3 linked regions of the Lonchura striata genome follow. The protein of the gene in region 1 interacts with the protein of each later gene in a pairwise test. Links are inferred from orthologs where the notes say so. Each region holds a gene or a part of one and is shown in the gene's direction. Other genes may lie near its edges.

Region 1 (7,073 bases):
CAGATCTTCTGCTATTGGATTTTCATTTCCTAAATCAATGTAATAGAAAAGAAAATTACACCTTTTCTCAGTATATATATGAAATATAATAATGTTTCTAAAGAAAATTTCATATCTACTAGACAGTTTTTCATTAATCTATTTAATAAAACATGAGAATGACCTTTTTCTCTCTTGGAACTAACTGAATTGTGAGCTTAGTGTCCTTTGGCTAGGTTTCAAAATGAGAAGTCACCCTACAGAGTTCAAGTCTGCAGAAAGCAAACCAGGTCCACAGTACTTGAACTCCAGCAGCCATTTATTATGAGGTATTGAGTCTTAAATGTAGTGCTAAGTACAGAGAGAATGCCTATATTCTGCTTGTATTTTGGATCTAACACATGAGAAACTTGCAATAATGCAAGTTTCCTAAGGCACATAAATGGCAAAAAGAGCTTTTTCTGGGCTTTCTGGGTATCTTGAGGTAGACAAAAAAGAGACTATAATGATATCCTCAGTCCAGTTGCACCACAGGTTCTGAGCTTGGAAGCTGCAGGGCAGCAAGACCCTCTTCAGCTAGGATGGGACTGCACGTCCTGTCCTCTTCTCCCCCAGTGGCTTGGATTCCCTTGAGCATAGCCAGAGAGTCTCATTAGTTCTTCCATCTTCTTTTTCCATCATGGGTCAGAGGAATCTGTCTTCTCTAACCCAAAACTTAACCACTGCGGAAAGAAGAAGAAAACAGGGAGCTGGGACAAACTTCTCCTGGGTACAAAGTCCTGAAGGCATCAAGGCTTTTGCCAAGGCTGTTTGCCTTTACTTTTTGGACTGTCCTTGAGCAGGAAAAATGTTTACATAGTCAGAGTACATTATTGCAAACATTATTTCTTGTGTGCTTTTTCTTTCAGAAAATGATCATCTTTTCTTCCTAAGGAAAATATCAGCATTTTAGGCTGTTATTTTCACAATACAGAATTGTGTAGGGTGTTGCCAGAGATTCACTATTTAAGAGAAAAGATAAGCATGTCCTTCACTGCTACTGAAAAAATGCATTGCTATTTCTCCACTTAACCATTTTAGCGGTGCTATTTTGGATAAACAATCTTATGACAGTACAGTTTTGTCTTGAATGACACAGCTGTAGTCTAGGAAACTAAACATATCTTTCCTAGTGTTTTTATTTGTCAGATGAGTATTTCCAATATTCATGTGTATCTATGTTTTTAACCCACCACAAAATGAAAAATATTATACTAATAAGACTTGAGGAGTCATTTCTGTATGTATTAGAAAGAGATTTAAGTACAGACACATGCTTAATAATAACTCAATTGAACATTTTATCATTGTCAAAGACATCTTTAGAGAAGTCCATCAACTCTTCTGACTTCTATACAAGTCAATTTACTGTCTTCAAAATATAATGTTAATGACACTCAGTGTACACACTGTAATCCTTTAAAATAATGTACATGACAAACGGATATGTTCTCATGCATTAATAATTTAAAAGTTAATTTTAGGTACTTAATATGATTAACTGATGGATCAGCAGTCTTATATATGAGAAACAGTGAGCACACTCAAAGGAAGAGCATACTGGAAGGCAGCCAGGTAGTTGCCTGCGTGATGCTTCAAAAATACCTGAGCTTTATCCCTCCAGTTTCCCTTCAGTGTCAGATGCAGAGCATCACGGTCATAAAGGTGGTCTGGTTTCAAGATGGAGAGTGCAAACTGCCTTAGTGATTGAGGCAGCAGGACTTTCGGGGAAGAAGAGGATGTTTTAGAAGATGGGAATCCCTGCAATGCAATCCTGCTGGTGGCTGGCTGGCTCTGCAGCACCAGACCAGTTATATAATTTCTCTCCCTTCACTTCTCACTTTTTGAGGACACGCTGTAACGCAGGGCTGTAAATTGATATTCTAGGGTGGAAATACTACAGATGACAAAGTATAACTGTTGCATTGCGCAGCTAAGGAATGTGCCAGGGGGCAAATAGCATTAAACAGCGTGTGGAAGAGGCATGTGTTGAAGTCCTTGACCATGCCCACAGCAGCGGGTTCTGCGAAAGCAGCACAAACTGGACACCTATTGCACAAAACCTGGTCAAATCATACAGGTACATGCATGGCTGCAAAAAAGATGGAGATTTTCCTTCACAAGGAGGCACAGGGAGCAGACAAGCGGCAACAGTACAAATTTCACGAGGAGAGGTTTCACATTGATTTTGATTCACTGAAAAAAAAAATTTAGAGTTAGAACAATCACCCACAGGGAAATCATCTCCAGGGGTGGGGTGGAGTCCCCACAGTTTGAGGCTTTCAAGATGCAATTGGACAGGGTGATAATCTCATCCCTTTCCCATAAAAAGCTGGGCCAGTTGATCTTTGGCGTTCCCTTCCTATCTAGGCTGGATCTATCTGTACTGAAAGTTTCTTATGTAAGCATGTGGGGCTGTGATGCCAGCCTACTGTGAGTAGGTGCCTTCTTGCCTCTGGAGAAATCTCAGGCAGAATCTGATACCACCTGCATTCACCTTTTCACTAAATAGTAACCTGGACAGGAGACAGCTTCTGCTTTGGTGAGGCACCAACACTCTGAGGCTGGACCCACAAAACGCAAGATCAGGGTGAATGCTGGCTCACAGGAAGGCGGGACAAAGCAGCTTGGCGGTGGGAAGGGAGCGCTGAACGAGGCTGGGAAGTGACGGCCCCATGGACTGGGGCAGGACAGGACAGGACGGGCAGCAGTGATGCTGACAGACTGAAGAGCAACGCTCAGCGCTGCATCAAGTGGAGATGGCCGAGGGGAGCGCGGTGCCGAGGAGAGGCTAGGCGGCTGGTGAGCACGGTGAGCAGCGAGCAGGCAGCAGAGTGGCACGTGTGTCCAAGAGGCTGAGGTGACACATTGAAGGAGACTGGAGAGATTATTCGAGGACCTGAACAGGGAGAGCGAGTGGTGAGAACAGAGCGAGAACAGAGCATGGTTGGAAACAACGGGGACCGGAGTGTGGGCTGATAAGAAAAGCATTCCTTTATATACAGTAAAGAAGAGCCACGGAGGAAGAGAAAGCAAGAGCAAAGAAGGTATCATGTTACATTTCAAAATATATTCAGCTCGGGCGCTCAGCCACAATACTCCCATTAGTGTACATGCATCTGTCTAGGAAGAAAAGCCCAGAGATTTCTCCCTCTTCTCCTTGGACTCAATTGCCTTTTATAGAGTTGACCACTTTCTTATGAGAGGTGTTTTTGCATCTAGTGAAGTAAATATTCCTCTCCTCACAGAGTGTGACGGCTCTTATTGGAAGTCAATACGTTTTAAACCAGTAGCTCTTAGGGAAGCGTGCAGTTTTGCTTCCCTTAAAAGAGCTTTTCCACAGTCCGAGTTATTTGCAAGCTACTTGCAAATCGGATGGCTCGGAGCTACCGTGGTGCAATAGCGAAGGTCCCAGCGCACAGAAGTTCGCAGCAGCAGTCTGTAGGAGTGCTAGTGGCAGCCTGCGGATCCCGGGAGGGCAGGGTGCTTTGGAGTACGGAGGAGCTCTGAAGAGCCCACCGTACTGTCGGCACACACCGGGAGCCTGCTCCGTGCTGTCGGGAGCGAAGGAAGGGGATCTGGGGGACTTGCCCTGCGCAGTTTTGCGGGGAAAAAGGTGAGAACAGGACCGACGACTTTAAAGAAAAAGTCCAAGCACAAATGCCTCGCGTGTGCAGATGCTCTGTTGGTTTTATTTTAAAGAAAAAACAGCCTTTCCCAAGAAAAGCACGCGCCGGTGCTACCTGCGGGTGAGCTTTTGTTCGAGGGCAGGACACCCGCCACAGCTCCACGACGTGTCGCCTCCAGCGCCGCTCGCCCCGGGACGGGGGAGGGCGGGCAGGGGCGCCGCCGCCACACAGCCCGCGGCCGCCGGGGCTCCCGGCCGCCCCCTGCCCTCGGCGGGGCGCGGGCCGGGGCTGCGGCTGCGTGCGGCGGGGGCGGGAGCGGGGCGGGAGCGGGGCGGGGCCCGCCGGGAGTCAGCTGGGCGCGAGGGGAGAACGCGGCGGCGGCGGGCGCCGTTAGCACCGGAGCCGGCGGCGCGGACAGGCAGGCAGAAGTTTTCTCCGCAGACCCCTCCCGCAGCCTGGGGACGCCTTGCGGAGGCGCGAACGTCCCCGTTCGCGTTGGGTGTGTTTTGCTTTTTTTTTTTTTTCTTTCTTTTTTTTTTTTTTTTTTTACTTAATTGCTTTTTTTTTTTAATTGTATGGTTTTAAATATTTTTTCTGTTTTAATTTTTTCTTTTGTTATTGTTGGTTTTAAGGCGCGTGGCTCCGAGAGATCGCTCTCCCCCGCCCGCGCCCCACTCCACCCCTCCGCCCCGAGGATCCCCCTCCCCGCCCGCGCTCCCGTCCCCGCCGCGCACGACCCTTCCCCCGACCCCCTGCGCCCGCCCCGAACTTGGCGGGTGCGCGGCGCCCGGCGGGCACGGTGCCGGCCGCCTGCCCGCCCAGCAGGTAAGGGGCCGGGGGGCGGCGGGGGCGCGCAGGGGGGCGGCGGCCGCCGCCCCTGGGGAGCCGCAGCGGGGTGAGGCCGGGCCGGGGTGGGTGAGGGCTCGCCGGCTTCTTGGTAGCGGAGGCCGGTGGGAGGAGGAGGAGGAGAGCAAACTTCCTTTTCCTGGGGCCGCCGGCGAGCCCCCCCCTCCCAGTTCCCGTGGGGAGCGCCCCCCGCCCGGCGCGGAGCCCCCGGGGCCGGCCGGGGTTCGCCGGCGGCCTCGGGGTTCGGAGGATCGGCCCTTTTTCCCGTCTCGGGGCTTCCTTGCCGCGTTTTGTTCGCTCGCTGCTGCGCGCCTCGCCCCGGCGGTGCCGGGAGCCGGGCTTTCCCGTCGCCCCGCGCTGGAGGAGAGCGAAGACCTGCCCCGCCAACTGCTGGTGGTGCCGCTGAAACTCCCCGGTTTTCCCCCTGCTCCGTTTGGGGTTTGCGGGAGGGCTGGCGGATGGGCAGTTCGCAGAAATGCCACCCCGGGGTGCTGCCGCCTTCCTGCTCCTCCGCGGTGGGGATGTGCGGCGGCAGGCGGCCGTGTGCCCGCCGGAGAGCGGCCCTGCCGAGCTCCCGGCCGTGCCGACAGCCCCTCGTTAGCCCGGGAGACCCTCCCTGCGGGAAGCGCGGAGCTTCTCCTGCCCCAGCTCCCCGCCGGGGAGAGGCGGGTACCCGTGGCTCTCCTTGTATAACCGCGGCGCTGCAAGCCGGGGCTGAAACTGTGGCATCTTTATAAGAACAGTTTGCAGTTAATTGGTTTGGCAGATGAACTCCTGCACAATCCTCTTGCCCGCTTCTGTTGCTCAAGTGCCAGCGCCCCCTCCCACCCCTTTCCCCCTTTTCCCCGCTTTCCTTTGAAGCGTCGCATAACTCTGTATTGCCAGCAGGATGGAAAGTGCTGATTCAGCAGCCAGGAGCCCCACTCCATCTGAAGTGGTGGTCTGCCTGAAATGCTCCCATTTGTTGAAATGGGAACATGTGTTGCTGGTATGTCAAAGCAGCATTGATCATGTCGTCTAAAACAGACTCAAATAATGTGGTTTGCTTTTCTCTTCACCAAGACAGAATGAATTTGGGGTTGGGGCAAAGCAGGAGGGGGCAGAATAGAAGGGATGTGGGCATCTGCCACCTTCAGTTATGCTTCTAAGGGGCAGCTGAAATTGTTTTGCCTCTTAAAGGTGCATGTGTGTTTTAACAGAGATGTTGTGGGATGCATTAACACTCCAGCTCCATCTATTCTTGCGTTCTGAGGCTAGTAGTTGTACTTACAGCTCTAGAAAGGTACAGAGAAGGGCAACAAAGCTAATCCTAGGATTAAAACGTGTGCGTTACGAGGACAGGTTAAAAAAAAAAAAGCACCACAAACACATGGAGATTAGAAAATCTGCTTGGAAAAGAGGAAATATGCTTGAAACTTTAGATGAGAGCTCTGGCTGTGCTTCATGATGCTTTTGGGGCTGAAGCAGGGTGTGGGAGTTAAGCAGGATGCTCTTCCCATGCTATTAGTCTTCCTCCAGGGCTTAACCTCTCAGAGCAGCATAAGGAGGAGAGCTGTTCCAGAGCTGTATTCCTCTGGCTATCTTTGTACAGGTATACGTTAATATCAGAGCTGCCTGGGTTTTCTTTCGCTACTCCTGGACTCTTTAAAATTCAGCACAGTGTCGAGCAAACAGCAGAGCCTGAAGAGTACTGTTTGGTAGCTTTCCTGCAAACAGTAAACCGACAGAGCAGCAGACCGTGACGCTTGCCTCTGGTGATCATTATACCATGTTCTGGTCTGATTTATTTTCTTCACTTGGACGTTATTTGTTCTTAAAGTAGGTCTTGTTTGCCCTGGCTACATATTAAAGATCTTGTGGTACTTCCATGGTTTTCCTTGGTTTTGTTAATCAAACTATCCCTTCTCTTAGCACTGTGTGAGCTGGCTTTTATCCTCACATACAGCCACACCTGGATTTCAGTAGCGTGTTCCTGTTTTTTTTAATGCATAGTCCAAAAGCTCTGCCTAAATGCAAAATGGATTTCTGCATCTCAGTTCTGCTGAAGTGTATAGTGTGCACTCTGTGAATAAAACAAGTGTTTGCAGCCCTCTGTCTTGCGAGTGCTTAAATGACTCTAGCAAGAATTATTATGAAAGTTTTTTTAGAAATCTTTGGTTACATTCTCACCAGTGCTTGGGATGTAATGGGTAAAAAGTATCTGGATCTTTCTGGCAGAGGTATCCTTCCAAGGCAGGGAGTTCCCAGCTGGCAGAGGAGAGGCATAGCTGGGTCATGCACTGCTTCTGCCAGCAGCACCAGAGTGTTGCGCTGGGAATTTATTTTCTGACAGCCCCAAACAAGCAGATGTCCCTCTAGCCTATGAGGCACCATCAGCTTCCGTGGGTGCTCACAGCAGTGGCAGCAGGCAAACTGAGGGGCTCCTGGCTGGTGTCATTCTGGGTGGGACCCTACTGTTGCTCACTTCTGCTGTGCCTCTCTGCACGTGGTTATGGAGGTGATGGTGCTAAATGAGGCCAGATTTCTAGGTATAATTTCTGCTTAGACCAGCTCAGCTCTGTCTTAGGAAGTGTGTGTATG
Region 2 (7,899 bases), on another chromosome or scaffold:
AAAGTGAAAAACGTGGTAGAAAGGGGCAACCCACATTTTGCCTGGCTTGTTATGAGTCCATAAAATGCTTTTTATAAGGGGAGATTTGGAGGGGGGGAAAGAGTGAATTCCAAGGATTTCTGTTTGCCTTTCAGGTGTACAAAACCCACTCCCCAGGCTGTGTAAGAGATGTATCACTCACCCAGGCACAATTCCCACCTGGAACTCTTACCTACCCGCACCTCCCCGCAAGGAGAGCGTTCAGCCTGGAGCAGAGGCTGAACAAGGTGAGCTGGCAGCACCAGCAGCTCCTGGGGCAGGCGAGGTGGCTGCAGTGGGTGCTCTCAGCTGCTGGCCCACGGCAGGGGCCAGGAGCTGCAGAGACATTCCAAAAAGCAGCCCCTGGAGCAGACTCAGGCAGTGCTCTGTGATGGCTGACCTTCATCCCGGGGAGCTGACACGGCTGGAGAAGGCAGGAGAACAAATTTCAGCAGCTCCTTCTGCCGGTAATACAAAATGTTCAGATGCATAAAGGTTATGACAAGCAAGCGTCTGGTAAAGAGGTCAGGCTGCCCTGAATGTGCTGCAGAAGCCAAAATAAAGTCTAGTCAAGCCTATATGGAGTCCGAGCACCGAGGCAGGGGAATGATGAGGCCTCTTCCTCCCCAGTGGTGGCCCCAGAAAGCAGTGGTGAGGCTGCTGTTAAAACAAAAGTATGGCTGAGTGTGAGGATATTTGCCTTGGGCAGATATATGTTTTGAGAGACCGGGGTCAGTGGCTGTTTTAACCACGTTGTTTCATCCCCACTGCCACATTTCCTGAGTTTTCCACTTAAGTGGTATTTTAAACAGGACACAGGTATGCTGGTGGCATTCAGCATCACGCTCTAGAGGGTAAAATGTGTGTGTGTAACCAGGTGTTTCTTTCTGTCCATCTATCTCGGGGACCATAAACCAGCAGTGGACAAAGGGGGAGCAAAAGCCTAGTGCAAACAGAGAGGAGGAATGATTGTAGAACCCATAGGACAGAGAAGAGGAGACACCATTTTATGATTTACTCGTGAAGCACCTTGTTACGAAAATTAACTTTAATTTGTCCAAATTATAACTTTAATTTTACACATGGTACAGGGACAGTGTGCTTGAGGTTTTCATCATCAAGGATATAACCATGGTGTGGTTGTACACACTGAAAAATCCTGATTTAAATATATCCACTGAAAAGAACAGGAGCCTTCCTGGAGAAATATGCCAACATACAAGAGCCAGATCTGATTGAAAGGGTGCTCTAAAGCTGAGCATGTGCAAGTGCCTGGCTGGCACTGGAAGCTGCTCAACACAGAAAAGAATGAGGAAAGCTGAAGATTGTGCACAGTTCTCCTCTTAAGAGGTTAAGAGACCAGAGCTATGGGCACCTGGGCATTCACAGAAAAAGGGATTCCTCCCGCATACTTCCACAGAATAAAATAAAGACATCCTGACAGAATCCAGCCAGATAACTACAAATTATGAATTTCACATCAGGAGCTCAGGAGGATGGAGAGCACTGCAAACACCTCCTGTTCAAAAATGTGCTGTTATTACCATATTTTTTTTAAATTTTTAAAAGAATCCAAAAGATTCCAGAAATAAACTATGTTACAACACCTATAGGGCTGTGTTTATATGAGACTGGAAGCTCTTTTGGGGCACAGCACATCTTTCTGCTCTCTGCCTGTACATCACCCAGTACAATGGGCTTGTCCATGACACCCCATTCACCAAAGTAACGAAAGAAAGGCTATTTGACAAAAATAAAAGTTCTTTATGACAGCAGAATGATGAAGGATAGACACGCAGTTCCCACTTCAGCTCTGTCTTTACACAGCAAGACATTAATTGGCAAATAAGACGTTACAATTTATGCTGCATCAATGCCATGACATGCATAGAAAGGACACTTGTTCTGCTCAGAACCGGCGCCCGTAGCAGCCACAGCTGTACCCAGCAACAGTAAAAATTTATGGCACATGAAGATCTCTCTGGTTCAATTTGAGGACATGAGAGCCTGTGTGTGGTTGATAAAATCAACCAACCACACATGTGGCAGTCCAGGATGGTTTCAGGTGAAAATGTCTGATCTTCCTACAGGGAATCTCGGGAGGGTTATAGTTTTGAGTTATTCTTGAATTATTGACAGAGTCCTGCATAGGTGTGCTCATGTGGCAATCCTAGCCCTGTTGTACTCAGTGAGGATCTTCCCTTCAATTTCTGTGACACAGAATTGAACATTTCCATCTTTCCTAAGGAGTACAAGAGCTAATGAGTAATTCAGACAACAGGACCATTTTCACAAGGCAAACAGTAGAAGAATGGATGGGAAAACTACAAGAAGAAAAACACGTACAGTACAAGGTTGTTGGAAATGATGGGGTAGTGTCAATGAAGGATATTGTAATACAAGATGCTCAAGAATTCAGGTTTAAATGTAAAAACTTAATTTTGACATTTGCATTAATAATGTGACATTTGCGAATTTCTTAATGTACTTTTTTTAAAAAAAAACAACCAACAGCCTAGAATATAGCTAATGCTCACAGATGTCTGCTTTCTTATACTTCAGCATCATTTTGCTATCTCCCCATGCCAAAGTATTGCAACAAATCTGTGATTACTCAGGACACCCATATGCCGTACAGCATGGCTACTACGAGCTCCAGCGAAACAGCGGGAACACGGCCCATGTCTTCCGAGTCTGAAAAGCCCAAACCTTTTCTGCTCCAACTCATCCCATGTCCCCATCATTTGGGGCCTGGGTGCCCAATGTCATCGAGGGGTACGAGTGAGCAGCTGAGAAACGGAGTGACAATGCTGGAGGGCTGGATGGGGATGGTGAGCGTGTGAGGAGAGGATGGCGAGTGTGAATGGGGGCGTGCTCTTGGGGCGTGTTCCACCGTGGTTTGTCGCCTGCACTGGGCCAAGCCTTGGCATCCCTGTCCCTCGCTCCTGACCCGCATCCCTGGGAGCAGCGCTCCGGGCTCAGCCCTTGGCCCTGTCCTCAGTATGAAACTGAGGAGCAGCTTCCATTAAATGCCATAAATAAACAAACACGCCATGCAAAAATCACAGCTATGGATTTCTCCTTCCTCCTAATCCCATCCCTGCCTTTTTTATATGTTTAATTGAATATATTTATTTATTTGTCAGGAACATAGCAGTGTTTCCACTGGCAGGGCTCGCTCGTGGGCTCTCCCGCCGCCCCGCAGGATGCTCGCTGCATATCCCCCAGGTCTCCTGCTGCCGTTTCCCGGTTTGGGAAGGCCGGGGCAGAGGCAGGAGCGGCGGCGGCCCCGCAGCATCCCGAGGTGCAGCATCCTCCCGGTCCGGCTCCGCTCCGCTCCGGGTTTTTCTCGGCGCTCGCTCGCGCCGCCGCCGCCTCCGCGCGCGCCGCCGGCGCCGCCGCCTGGGCGGGGGGAGCCGGGGGGGGGAACGGGAGCGCGCGCGGAAGGGAAGGGAAGGGAAGGGAAGGGAAGGCGGGCGGGCGCAAGCCCCGTCCCCGCGCGGCCGCAGAGCGGAGAAGCGCCGGCGGAGCGACGCCGAGCTCTTGTTTACCAGCGCTCGCTCTCCGTCGTGCACAGGGAGGCAGCGCGGAGGAGAAGGAGGAGGAGGATTGGGGGGGCAGACGCGGCAGCAGAGCGCTGCGAACCCTGCTGCAAGCAAGCGGCGAATTAATCGGGAGGAGCAGCAGAGCAGCAGACCCTTCCCCCCCCCCCCGGTCTCCCTCCCCGCCCCGTTCCCTCCCCGGAGGAATTACAGACCCTTCGCAACAAGCTCCTGGGGTTTGACCTTCAGCAAACCGGATCGCCTTCCTCGCCCCCCGCAGCCCCCCCTGCTCACACTCACACACATACACACACCCACACCCCCACACCTCTCCCGGATCCCCCTCCCCCTGCCTTGGGCTGGGCAGCGCCGGGGGAAGGTTCGCAGCGCGCGCGCACCCAGAGGAGGAGGGAAAAGAGGAGGAAAGGGAGGAAAGGAAAAAAAAAAAAAAAAAAAAAAAAAAAAAAGGAAAAGGATTTACAAATTCGCTGGGTGGTTTTTGTTGTTGTTGTTGTTGTCGTCGTCCTCCTCCCCCCCGCCCCCGCCGCGATGGCAAGGCGGCTCGGAGGGATGCGAAGAGGAGAGCTGCGGGGGGAGGAGGCGGGGTGCTGAGCGCTCCGCTCGCCCCGCTGCTGCTGCCGCTGCTGCTGCTGCTTTGTGTGTGTGTCCTGGATTCGGCTTTTTTTTCTCTTTTTTTTTTCCTTCTTCTTTTTTTTTTTTTTTTTTTTTTTTTTTTGAGAAGGACCTTGTGGCAGCCGCGCCGAGGAGAGGAAGAGGAGGAGTAGGGGGGGAAGCCTTTTTAATTCATTTTCGACCCAAATTCTGCATTTCGAGCCTCTGCAGGCAGCCGGACTCGTGGTGGCGGCGGCGGTGTTGTTGTGGGTGGTGGTTGTGCGTGGGGTGTCCCCCCCACCCTCCCCGGCGGAGCGGGGAGCGGAGCCGCGGGGATCCCGCCGGGGCAGCCCCGTCCCCGCGCGGGGGGACGGCGGAGCTGTTGTTGTTTTGTAATAGGATTGTCTGGGTCGCGCCCCCCCCTTCCCCTCCCTCCGCGGCCCTCCCAGTTTTTGTGTCTCTGTGTGTGTGCGTGTGTGCGGTGTTTGAAAATGGAGGTTGAAGATGCCGACTGCCAGCCCCGATGTGCCTCGTGTTTGCGGCTCCTGTGCACGATGTACCACCGCAGCCAGCGCTGAGGGGAGACGGCGGCGCCCCCCGCCCGCCGCCCCGAGCCCGCCCCGCCGCCCCGGAGACAGCGTCGCCCCGGGGCTTCCATGCCTTGTTGTTGCCGTTAATACATCGTGAATATCTGTGTATTTTTGGTGTGCTTGCTCCGGAAGATCAACACCCAGGGACCTCAACAACCCTCCGGTTTGCCGCTCCGAAGGGTCGTGGTTTTTTTTTTTTTTCCTTTTTTTTTTTTTCCTTCATTTCTTGAGGCAACGTGGATTTATTTACCCTGCCCCGCTGCTCCTCCGCCGCTCGTTATTTTTAGAGGACGGGGAGAGGAAAGAAAGCGAACAATTTTGGACTTCTTTTTGCTTTGTTTTGTTTTCGGAAAGGGGGATTTTGTCCAATTAAAGAAAGAGGAATGAAGTCTGGCGCTGGAGGAGGGTCCCTCGCCGTCGTCTGGGGGTTCCTGCTCGTTTTCGCCGCACTTTGTCTGTGGCCAACAAATGGGGAAAGTGAGTACAGTGCGTGCCCGGGGGTGCTGCGGGGCACCCCGCGGTGAGGGAGCCCCCGAGTCAGGCTGCCGGGGAGGGGGCGAGGGCGGCGGCTGCCTGTGCGTGTTTGGGGGGGCGTGAGGGGTACCGGTGTTTGTGTGTGGGGGGCTCCCTTGTGTGTGTGCGTGTCCCTGTGTGAACGTGTGTGTGTGTATGTGGGTGTTGCGCGTGTATGTGAGGGGGGGTCCCTGTATGAATGTGTGTGAGTGGGCTGGTGATGGGGGGGGCTCCCTGCGTGTGTGGGGATGCGTGAGGGGCTCCCTGTGTTTGGGTGTGTGCGTGAGGGGCTCCCTGGGTGTGTGTGTGTGTGAGAGGGGGCTGCCGAAGGGGTTCCCCGTGTGTGCGAGGGGGTTCCCTGTGCGAGGGGCTCCCTCGCCGTGTGTGTGCGTGAGGGGCTTCCCTGCGTGTCTGGGCTGTGTGCGAGGGGCTCCCTGTCCTTGTGGGGGTCCCTGTTGGCCCCGGGGCCCGTGCGAGGGCTCCCTGCCCGCGGCTGTGAGGGGCGCTCCCGCCGTTTCCCGCCGCGGCGCCGAGCGGGTCTCGCCCCTGCCCGCGGGGCTCTGCGTGTTTTCCTCCTGTTACGCGTCTGCTCCTCCAGCACGTTTAACAACCCGGGGCTGCGCGTCTCCCTCCCTGCCATGCCCGCCTTCCTCCCCGGGAGGCGGCTGCCTGGCTGTACACACGGGTCGGCAGCGCCGCAGCCCCGAGCCCGGCGGAGGGGGCCGTGCCCCTCCTTTGTGTCCCCCCCGAGCGCGGGGCAGCGCTCAGGCGCCGCAGCCAGGGCTGCGAGCTGCGTAGTAAACACTCGCGGGCTGGGGAGGACTCCGCTCGCTTTCCCCCTCATGGAAGGAGCTTGATCTCTGTCAATATTTAGAGGCTGTATGCAGGAACCTGCTGTAGTGAGTGAGGAATTCCTGGAAATGAACGCCTTGCCTTTTACCGCCGAGGAGGGGTTTCACTCGCTGTGTGCGGAATTACGGCGGCATCCCGCAATCTAAAGGTCACGGGCTGCCGTTAATTTTAAAAAGGGAATTAATTCGCACATTGACGTTTGTGCGTAAATAGAAAGGTTTGATGGCGGAACGGGCTGCGATCTGAGGGGGATGCATTTTTCCAAGCGGCCGTGTTGCAGCCAGCGCCGAGGTTGGAGCAGCGTGCGAGCCGCTTCCCCGGGAGCACCGGGAGAACGTGGATCGGCTCCCTCCTGCCGCGGAGCCTCTGCCCATCCCCGCGCCCGCCCGCCTCGCTCGGGAGCTGCCAGAGCCCCGACTTTGTTTTTGTGCGTTCCCAACCTGTGATTGTGTTGCAGTGCCCGCCCCTCTCGGGCGCAGGGGGAATCGAGGGGGCAGGGAGGGCTGCGCTGCCATTGATTACACTGCAATCATCGCCGGATTAATCCCGGGGCTGATCGGTTTTCTCCTGGTATGTCGGGCTCACGCTGGATTGAGGATCTCTTGCATGAAATTAGCCTTCCCTTTTCTTCCTGGAGTATTTCTGTATACGGGGAGATGGTAAATGTGCCTTGGAGCCCAACCATTTTAAACAGTGCTCCCTCTCCTTCAGCGTCTGCAGAAACAGGGATGTTCCTGTACTGCATCCTGATGCTTTAATTTCTTCTGCCGTGTGTTTTTCAATACACTCCTGGAGCTGTTGTGTGCCTCTCCCTTTCAGAAAGATATGCGCTGTTGGAGGGAAGGAACGAGGAGATCAGATTTCTCCATTTTAAATGTAAAGGGAAGGAATTCAGGAGGCAGGAGGGCTTTTCTACAAGTAGTGGTTTCAGATTGAAAAGAAAGGGAAGTTCTTTGGATGCACTGGCAGTGAGGCCAAGTACACAAAAAAAGATAAGTGAGCAAGAAGCACATAGACGGAGCCTGTAATGCATGTTGAGTAATAATTATGTTTCGTTAGGCAGTAAATGCCTGTTAACTCCTTGCAAATTAAGGCCCAGTCTAGGCTTTTGGGCCAGCTACGGCTGGAGAGCTGCAGTCTTACTTCCATGAGTTGAACTTTTTGGCTAGAGCTGTTTTCAAGAAGGGAGATTAATCTTTAAGTTCAAAAACAAAACCCCCGTGCCCTTCTTCAGGGAAGGGCTTACAAAGGATCCAGTAGTGTGGAGAAACAGAACAGGAGGAGGAGGAGATTTGATGCATCCTTAAACTGCTAGGATACACACTTAGAATTGTTTTCCTTGTCTTACCTGGTACAAAGTACCTTGAAATAAAAATGCTCACCCAACAATGAAGTAACGCAGGAAGAGTATGTCAGGATTTTAGGTTCTAGTCCTCTGAAGTGTTTGTGGTTACCACTTACCTAAAATGAACATCCCAAATGAAATATCTTCTGAAGAAGATCCAGGCATTTAAATACGGGAAGATATGCTGAAAAACTTGTCTTAGCTGAATACTGCCTCTAATCGATTGCCTTTGTAGTTTACAGTTTAATAGCCTTTGTTTTCACGAGTTATTGCTGAAAGAATTTTGCTGTTAGGGGGAAAAATGATCTCCAGAGCAGATGTTTTACATCTCTTCATATTCTTCTCTCTCCCCATAATAGTGGAAGGAAGATTAATCTTAATTTTTATTTGTTTTTCATATATACTGTGTCATAGCTAAAAGGCACTT
Region 3 (7,829 bases), on another chromosome or scaffold:
TTTGCTTCTTAAACTGTGAGCACTAAACTGTGAGCATGGAATAATAAATAGAAAAACCTCTACTCTTTAATGTCAGGTAAAGAATTGCTAAACGATTAAACTGTGTATATATCTTCACAGATTATATTTTATAAATCACGCTTTTGTAGCTAAATATTTATAATTAAATGTTTTTATACTTTACAAAAAAGCAGATAATTTCATCTTCAATTATTTCTCCTGTTGCAGAAATGTAAAAATAAAGCATTGTTATCTCCAGTCTTGTTTGTGGCTTATTTCAGGTCTTTGAATATAGCATTTTTCACAAATTTTAATAGTAATCCCCAAAGCTCAGCATCCTGACTTGGATGAGTGGGGGAAGTGTTCAGCCCCTTCTTGATAACACTTCCTCTTTTGCATAGCAGTTCTGGTGTAAAAAGCCTTAATGTTTGCATTCCCTCAGAAAGGCACATGGCTGTGTAAATACTTGAAATACTGCCTACTGCTAAATGTTGACATCTGAAGGTTGTCAGCCTTTCCTTATCTTAAAATAACCTGTCTCAGCCCCTGTAGTGCCCCAGCTGGGAGCTGGCAGGTTACTTCAGCTGGAATTCCCTTTGCATTTCCTGCTTCTGCCTTTATTAAGGGAGAAAAAAGAAAAATACATGGATACCTGAAAATATGTCTCCAAGCATTTTGTTTGTACTATTGCTGATCTACTAAGCTTTGCTGGCATTGCCACACTGAGAAGGGGGTTCAGGAAGAGGTTTAACCATGCCTCATTTCAGGTCCAGTGATGAAACAGAAGTATTTATATTCATCTATATTTTATATAGATGAATATAAATATATATATTCATATTCATCAATATAAATATTTTATCCCATGTATCTCTGCTCTATGCCAATACATTCACTGTGTCTATGAATCCTCAGGTCTCAGAGGTCAGGTAATATCTGGGTGAAGGTTCCTTAGTCTCTATTTCCCCAGGAAAATTGTGACACTGCAGCTCTTGATTTTTATTTTGGGGTGGTTTTTTTTTGTTTTTTTGTTTTTTTTTTTTTCTTTACAGCATAGCAAGCACTGCTGAGTTGTGCTGCTTTGCACATGCAGCTGGGTAAGGAGTCCAAACCTGCAGGAGAAGAGTGTGAAAAAAGGCTTTTCAGTGGTTTTATTTTAATAGAATTAAGTCAACTCTAGCTGACAAGTTTCAGTAAGGAAATTATCATTGTCTATGGTTTTGTTCAATTCAAACTGGTGCTGCTAGTTGGGACCTGCATTCAGTGCAATGAACAATAAGTGCTTTTGGACGTGCATTTATTTGGAAGTTGCAGAAATGTGCGTTTTGACATCAGCTTTGCAAAAATGGACATTAGGAAATGAATCACTTTCTAAATTGTTCTGTTTTACTGGCAATTATTTGATTTGATAACAGTGTCATTAGATTGTGTAGAAGTACTAAAGAGAAGTTGTCTAGCTGTATCTCCCACCTAAAACCATGTGAAAACACTTAGTTGTATTTACCTGTAATTTATCTACTACATCCTTGATGCTCTGTTCTTTTATGCCTGAGTCACCACAGGTGGCTCTCAAAGGTCCTGGCAATCCCAGCTCTTTAGTGGTGCCTGCTGGTATATTAATGCCTCTCTGGTATTTCTGACATGCCACAAGTGACTCTTAAGTTGGTGGCGGCAAGTAGAGAAGCTTGATGAAAAACTTGTTGCACTTGGTGGTCTTTCTCAGAAGGGATAAATACTTGCCTCAAGTCATTCATCTAGAATGGGAACTTCAGGTAGTCCTTGATCTCTGATGGGATTTTGTTTAACAAAACATTAGTTTGCCCAGAGTAGGCAAAATGCAAGACAGGAGTCACTAGCACTTCAGCCAGCACCAAAGGTGGGTTCAGCCTGTCTGGATGCTCAGATTGCAGTGGATTTCTCAAGGATGCTCCTGTCACAGTCATTGCCATTGGCTGCAGCGGACAGCCTATGGCAGCAGGAAGTCTCACCTGAAGAGCTTAGTGTGGTCACAGTGCAGAGAAAGAGAAATGGTGTGATCAAGTTCTTCCTGGCACAGGGTTTGGGGTTTATGTGTGAGGATTAAGGTGACAAAATAACACTTCAACCTTATGCGAGTGTCCAAATAAACCCAAGACATTCAGAAGTAATTGGGTGTTGCAGAAGTAGCAGCTTGTTTGTGGTACTCTGTCTTTCAGTACAAGCCACCTGAGGTGACAAATGCATTGAAGTGACTGACTTTAAAAACTGCAGTTGGATGTTTGCCTGCTTTGCTGCTGTTTTCATTATTTTTAGGGATGTGACAAATGAGGACATGGAAAACAGAGGCTGCTGAGAACATATTGACTCTTCCCAGACAAAATCCCTGGTTATTTCAACAAGCAGGGGAACCACTTTTCCAAGTAACAAAATGCAGGAGTGGCAAGGGGAAACATGACTCTGACACATTCTTCTGGGCTGCTTTGTGATCATTATTTATCATTTCAAAGCTGTGTTCTGTGTTCATAACTCGACCAGTGTACTGAGGGAGGTGGGCTCTTGCCTCCAAGCCAGAATGGATGAAAACAAGGGGTTAGTAAGGAAAGCTTGTAGTTTGTTGGGGAGGCAGCTTCCCTGTTCTTGGGTTTTTAATAGTGTGAATGAATTGGCACAGTAATCCAGGGCTCTGAAGTACATTATGCCCTTGGTACCCAGACTGGCTGCTGGGGTGATTTCACACCTACACAATATCAGCTGACATTCTGTCATTGAGCCAGTCAGGAATTTTACCACACGGGTACAGTCTTGAATTTTCATGAGATTCTCTCTGTTTTGCTTGAATGAGTTGTGGAAGATTTAAGATGCATCTGCTATTACCAAAAGATTGTCATCTGAGTTTCCTTAGAGGTATTTTACAGAAATGCCAAGTTCTGCAGATTAGGAATGTTTCAGATGCTTCTTGAATTTGAATTTTTTTGTCTCAGTAATATAATGTTTGTGCTAACTGGGATTAAAAAAATTTCCACAAGTGCTAAACATCTTCCATCTCAGATAAAAGTTGTCTTAGAGCATGTGAAAATATTTTTGAGTGCTCAAACTCACATTTGATAAGTAGAATAACAAGGCACAGCTGCTTCTGCAATGAAATTGGAAGTTCTCACTGACAGCTTGAAATGCAGCACTGTCTCTCTCTATCATTATTAGTATTGGCTCAAACTGTGTGACAACAACCAGGGGGATTGAATGCAGCTTATCAGAGGCCAGCCCTTTTCTAGGGAGCTTTGCTTTTCCATACCAGCCTCCTAATGGAGAAATTCCATTCTAGATTTTTTGGGTGAGGTAGTCCTATGTAGCTCTCAGCTAAAAATAAGCCCCAAGAATTACAGGCTTTCAACCCATTAGCTCATAAGAATCAGTAGTATTCACTGTTGCATCATTTTTGGCTATCATTCAGTACACAATGACAAGTATTTATTCACCTAGAAGAGGATGGAGAAAGCTACATGGGTTGTGGCTGACATCATGATTAGAGTGAAACTGTTTCAGCTGAAAACGGTTATACCTTCAGCAATGCGTAACAGCCAAGAATAGTTTTTTACGCTGAAGGAACCACATGGGGCTATTCTGCCTCATGTACTAATATGGGTTTGGGGACTAAAAATAAACTGGTATTTTTAGCTGAAGAAAGTTTGCCTTGAGCTGCTGATTTTTCCATCAGAAGAGTCAAAATATGTATCATCTAATGCGCTTTCTCTTTTCAGCAGCAACAGCAGCTGCTGCCACTGCCTCCCAGGGTGACTCCCACGGCAAAGTGTCCTCAGGGCTCCTCCAGTGCCCGGGCAAGAGCAGGTCTAGCCCTCGGTGCCTGGGCACTGTGTGCTCACACATGGTGGCTTCTCACAGAGATTGTTGTGGCCATCGATAAAATGGAATTGCCTCATGGAACCACACAGAAGAAACAGATAAGGCTGGGAGCCACACTGCGCTGCTGAGGCCGCCTGTGTGTATGTGTGAGAAGGTGGCAGAATCACGGAATCATCCAGGTTGAAAAAGACCTCTGAGATAATCGAGTTGAACCTGAGACTGCTCCCCACCTTATCACCCAGACCAGGGTGCCAAGTCCAGGTATTCATTGAGCACCTCCTGAAACAGGGACTCCACCACCTCTCTTAACAGCCCCTTCCAATGTCTAATCACCCCTTCTGTGAATAATTTCTGTCTAGTGTCTAACCTAAACCTCACCTGCTGCAGCATGAGACCACGTTCTCCTGTCCTGTCCCCGTTCCCTGGGAGCAGAGCCCAGCCCCCGGCTGCACCCTCCTCCCACAGAGAGTTGTGGAGGGCAGGAGAGGCCCCCCTGAGCCTCCTTGTCTTCAGGCTGAGTCCCGCCCCCAGCTCCTTCAGCTGCTCCTCGTCAGACTGGTGACCCTTCCTCAGCTTCGTTCCCTTCTCTGGACGTGCTCCAGCCCTTAATATCCTTCCGGAATTGAGAGGCCCAAATCTGGAGAGCGGACTCAAGGTGCGGCCTTACCAGTGCCGGGTGCAAGGGGAACTGAGGCAGCGGTTCGATTACCGGGGCTGCGGGCAGGGCGGGAGGCGCGGGGACCCCCGGCCCTGCCATCTCCCTCAGGGCTGGGGGGGCCGCGGCGGGCCCGCGCGGCCGGCAGGGGGCGCTGCAGACCCGCCCCTCTCCGGGATGACGTCACACGGGGGCGGGAAGCGCCTCTGCTTCATCCGGGTCCCGCGGCGGGGCCGGGGGGCGTGGCCTCGCCCTCACGTGACGCTGCGTGGCGGCGCACCCGCCATCTTGTGTTGTTGGGTTGAGGAGCCGCCGCGGCTGTGAGGGACTCTCCGCCCGGGAGCGCAGGTAACGCCGTCCCGCCGCCGCCCGGCCCCGCCGCTGCCCCGGCCGTCCCCACCACGCCCCCGCCGTCGCGCGCCCCGTCTGACCACCGGCCCTGCCGGCGGCTCCCGTCCGCCTCGGCTGCCGCAGCACCGAGGCGCCCCGCGGCCTAACCGGGAGGCGAGGCCGCCCAGGGGGGTGGGGGGGTGCGCCTGGAGGGCCCCCCCGCGCTCCCCATGGGCCTCTGCAGGGGTCGTTGGAGCTGGGGCGAGCAGGCCTTGAGCTCTCCGTGCAGGTCCTTGGTACTTGTCAGGCGGCGGCGGGGCCGCTCCTCACCGCCCTCCGGGGCCGTCTCCCCTCGCACTGACCCTTGTGAACTCGCTCGTCCCCTCCCAGCCCAGCGGGAGCGCCGCGGTGAGCCCCGCTTCGAGCACGCCCGGCCCTGTCGGGTTACACTGGCCGAGGAAGGAGGGAGCTCCGAGCCTTCCCCCGCGCAGGCAGCAGGGTGCTGGGAGCAGCGGTGACCGGCAGTGTTTGACTGGAGAAGCCTTGGCAGGCTGAAGAGAGCATCGATCAGAATTGTGTACGTTTGGTATTGATCCAAGACAAGTAGTTTCAGTGTCAACAGAGCACTTATGGCTCTTGCAGTTCTCTATGATTGCACTTTGAATTGACACAAGGTGTAGGCACAAAAGAGGTATTGCCCACTAGTGCTTCTGCAATAAAAATCCACATTTCCCCTAGTAACATTCAGTTCAACGTTTGTGGTGTGCTGCTTTTACTGTAATTCTTGAATATCTGTTTGCTTGGGTGGGTGGGGAAAGGACTTTTGGATTCTGATTATATTCCTCTAACTTCTTGCTGCACGTTTTATTTTTCTTGCTTCAGGAGCTGACTTGGGCAAGTTCCTGGAAAGTACGTGTGAATTTTTTTTCTTATGACTCTGCTGGTTGCTTTTGTTCTTAAGAAACTCTTCAATAAACAAAAATTAATTTGCTGTTATGTGAATGGAGCATTTGGTTGATACACAATGTGATAATTGGAAAACTTTGTAAACAAAATTGGTTGCAGTTGTCGCCAACAAAAGCTTTGTTTTGGTGTTTTTAAGTTTTGTTATTGGGTGGTGACTGCAGTAGATAATAAGAGCTTTATTGCAATGAGGTATTGGTTTTCTTGCCATGCATTTGAATAGGTATCCTATGAGCAGCTAGCTGATGCTGGTGTGAAAATGTGTGACCTAATTAATCCTGGGGGTGCCAGCAGAAATATTGAGTGTCCATGGCCCCTTCTGCACCTGCTTTGCTCCCCAGGTTCATGTAGTTCAACAGGTCAGTTGATGTCAGTGGTTGTGTGTTGGTGTTAATTTCTGAATGAATGTGTGATTAAAAAAAAAATAAAGTTTCTGTCTAATAGTCTGCTGGATTAAAGAGAAGGCAGAATTTTAGTCCTGGAAGTTGGATGTCACCTTTTATGTTGAGACTTTGATAAACTGTTTCAGTGTCTGACAATATTGTGGGTAAATACTGGGGTTGAATGGCTTAAAGAGCTTCTCAGGTTCTCCCAGCCCCCGGATACAGGAATATGCCTGAGGACACCTGGTCACTGCATTTCTTTTGGGGCCTTTTTCTGAATGGTTTCTTGAGCCTGTGTTTTAAAGCAGGAGCATAGAACTAAAATTTAGTGTGTTTTTGGAGAAGCAATTATTTGTTTCACAGGGTGCTTAAAAAAAATTTGATACCACAATGAAAACTTGGACTGTTTCTTTTTTAATAGGTGTTGACCTTGGCATTGTAAAATATCCTGAGGTACTCCTATTAGCATTTCTGCTTCTGTTTCTAAAATATACATTAAACTAAAGCTATGAGCCCTGTGATTATGTAAGTGAAAAAAAAAGTTTGTAGACAGTTGAGGGCTTTGTAATTAATTTTTTCCTTCCTGTTTTACTATTCAGTTTAGGAAGAAAGCTGTGTAAAAAGGGAATGCAAAGTAGGTTTTGGGTTTTTTAAGGAATTGAACCTAAGCAGCACTCTGTATCTCTCTGCTAAGGCCAGTTGTCTGAATGAAGTTCTGCTACAAACTGGAGTTCTTCATACCTGGATGTAAAAAAAAAAAAACACCAGCAGTTTTTTAAGCTCTATATATACTTCATTAAAATAAAAACAACCCTAGATGTCAAGAGTCCCATGGAACAAGTTGTTGGGACAGCTGAGTGGCTGAAGGCTGTGCTGGTACATCCCTCTGCTGAAAGATCTTTCTCTTTAAACCTCGAAGAGAAAACACTGGTTCACAGTAGCTGGTGAAGATGAGCTGTGCACTAAGATCTGTGCTTTCCCCTTTCCCCCCCAGCTCTGTTTATTTATTTTGATTACTAAGAATGTGAAATTTGATTTTGCCTACTTTTGTCTGGTCTTGCAAGTTCAAGTAACTGTCATATATATGTTTCTTATTCTTTCATTGAGGTCTTCAAAATTCTTCCCTCGGACTCTTCGAAGTATGGTATTAAGTTCTCTCATAATCTGATTTAGCAAACAAAAAATCCATTTCCTAGCAGTTTTTTCTTAATTTTTATTTTTTTATTAGTTTTTTCCCCTTCAGTGCTTCTGCTCAAATATTAGTGGAGATAAACTATACATAATTCATGATTATAGATGAAGCCATGGGGCAAAGCAAGGGAGCTTTCTCCCTACAGAGCTTGCTAGAGAGCCATTGGATGCCTTGGTGAGGAGAAACCTTTTTCTTTGTTTACTGAGGAAGCATTTGCCTTGAAAGAGACTCTTGCTTTGTGTGGTTTTCTCATCAATTTATATTAATTCATAGAGTGACATTTGAAATGCAAGGTGTGTGAAATGCTGCAGGGGGATGGGGTTTGCTCTTTCAGGAACGAAGTCAGTTTCCAGCCCAGCTTAGCCTCTCCTTGTGTCTCTTGCTCTCAATTCTGGACCTTTTTTTTTTTTTTTTTTCCCATAAAGGATCTCGATTGTAAATCACCGGAAGTGAGAAAACGTAGTAA

The links.
Region 2: the proteins of GRB10 (region 1) and IGF1R interact in a two-hybrid assay, tested with the Homo sapiens proteins (4 studies listed by BioGRID and IntAct). The link is inferred for Lonchura striata from reciprocal best matches to the Homo sapiens genes GRB10 and IGF1R.
Region 3: the proteins of GRB10 (region 1) and GIGYF2 interact in a two-hybrid assay, tested with the Homo sapiens proteins (2 studies listed by BioGRID). The link is inferred for Lonchura striata from reciprocal best matches to the Homo sapiens genes GRB10 and GIGYF2.

Annotation. Positions count from the first base shown.
Region 1 is NC_134603.1:69,035,580-69,042,652, forward strand, and holds the start of GRB10 (growth factor receptor-bound protein 10), read left to right. Parts: upstream 1-3,968; 5' UTR 3,969-4,146; intron 4,147-4,380; exon of another isoform or gene 4,381-4,472; intron 4,473-7,073.
Region 2 is NC_134613.1:20,974,132-20,982,030, reverse strand, and holds the start of IGF1R (insulin-like growth factor 1 receptor), read left to right. Parts: upstream 1-4,833; 5' UTR 4,834-5,145; coding exon 5,146-5,239; intron 5,240-7,899. UniProt on the Homo sapiens protein: Receptor tyrosine kinase which mediates actions of insulin-like growth factor 1 (IGF1). Binds IGF1 with high affinity and IGF2 and insulin (INS) with a lower affinity. The activated IGF1R is involved in cell growth and survival control.
Region 3 is NC_134612.1:7,095,252-7,103,080, forward strand, and holds the start of GIGYF2 (GRB10-interacting GYF protein 2), read left to right. Parts: upstream 1-4,755; 5' UTR 4,756-4,843; intron 4,844-5,707; exon of another isoform or gene 5,708-5,734; intron 5,735-7,829. UniProt on the Homo sapiens protein: Key component of the 4EHP-GYF2 complex, a multiprotein complex that acts as a repressor of translation initiation. In the 4EHP-GYF2 complex, acts as a factor that bridges EIF4E2 to ZFP36/TTP, linking translation repression with mRNA decay.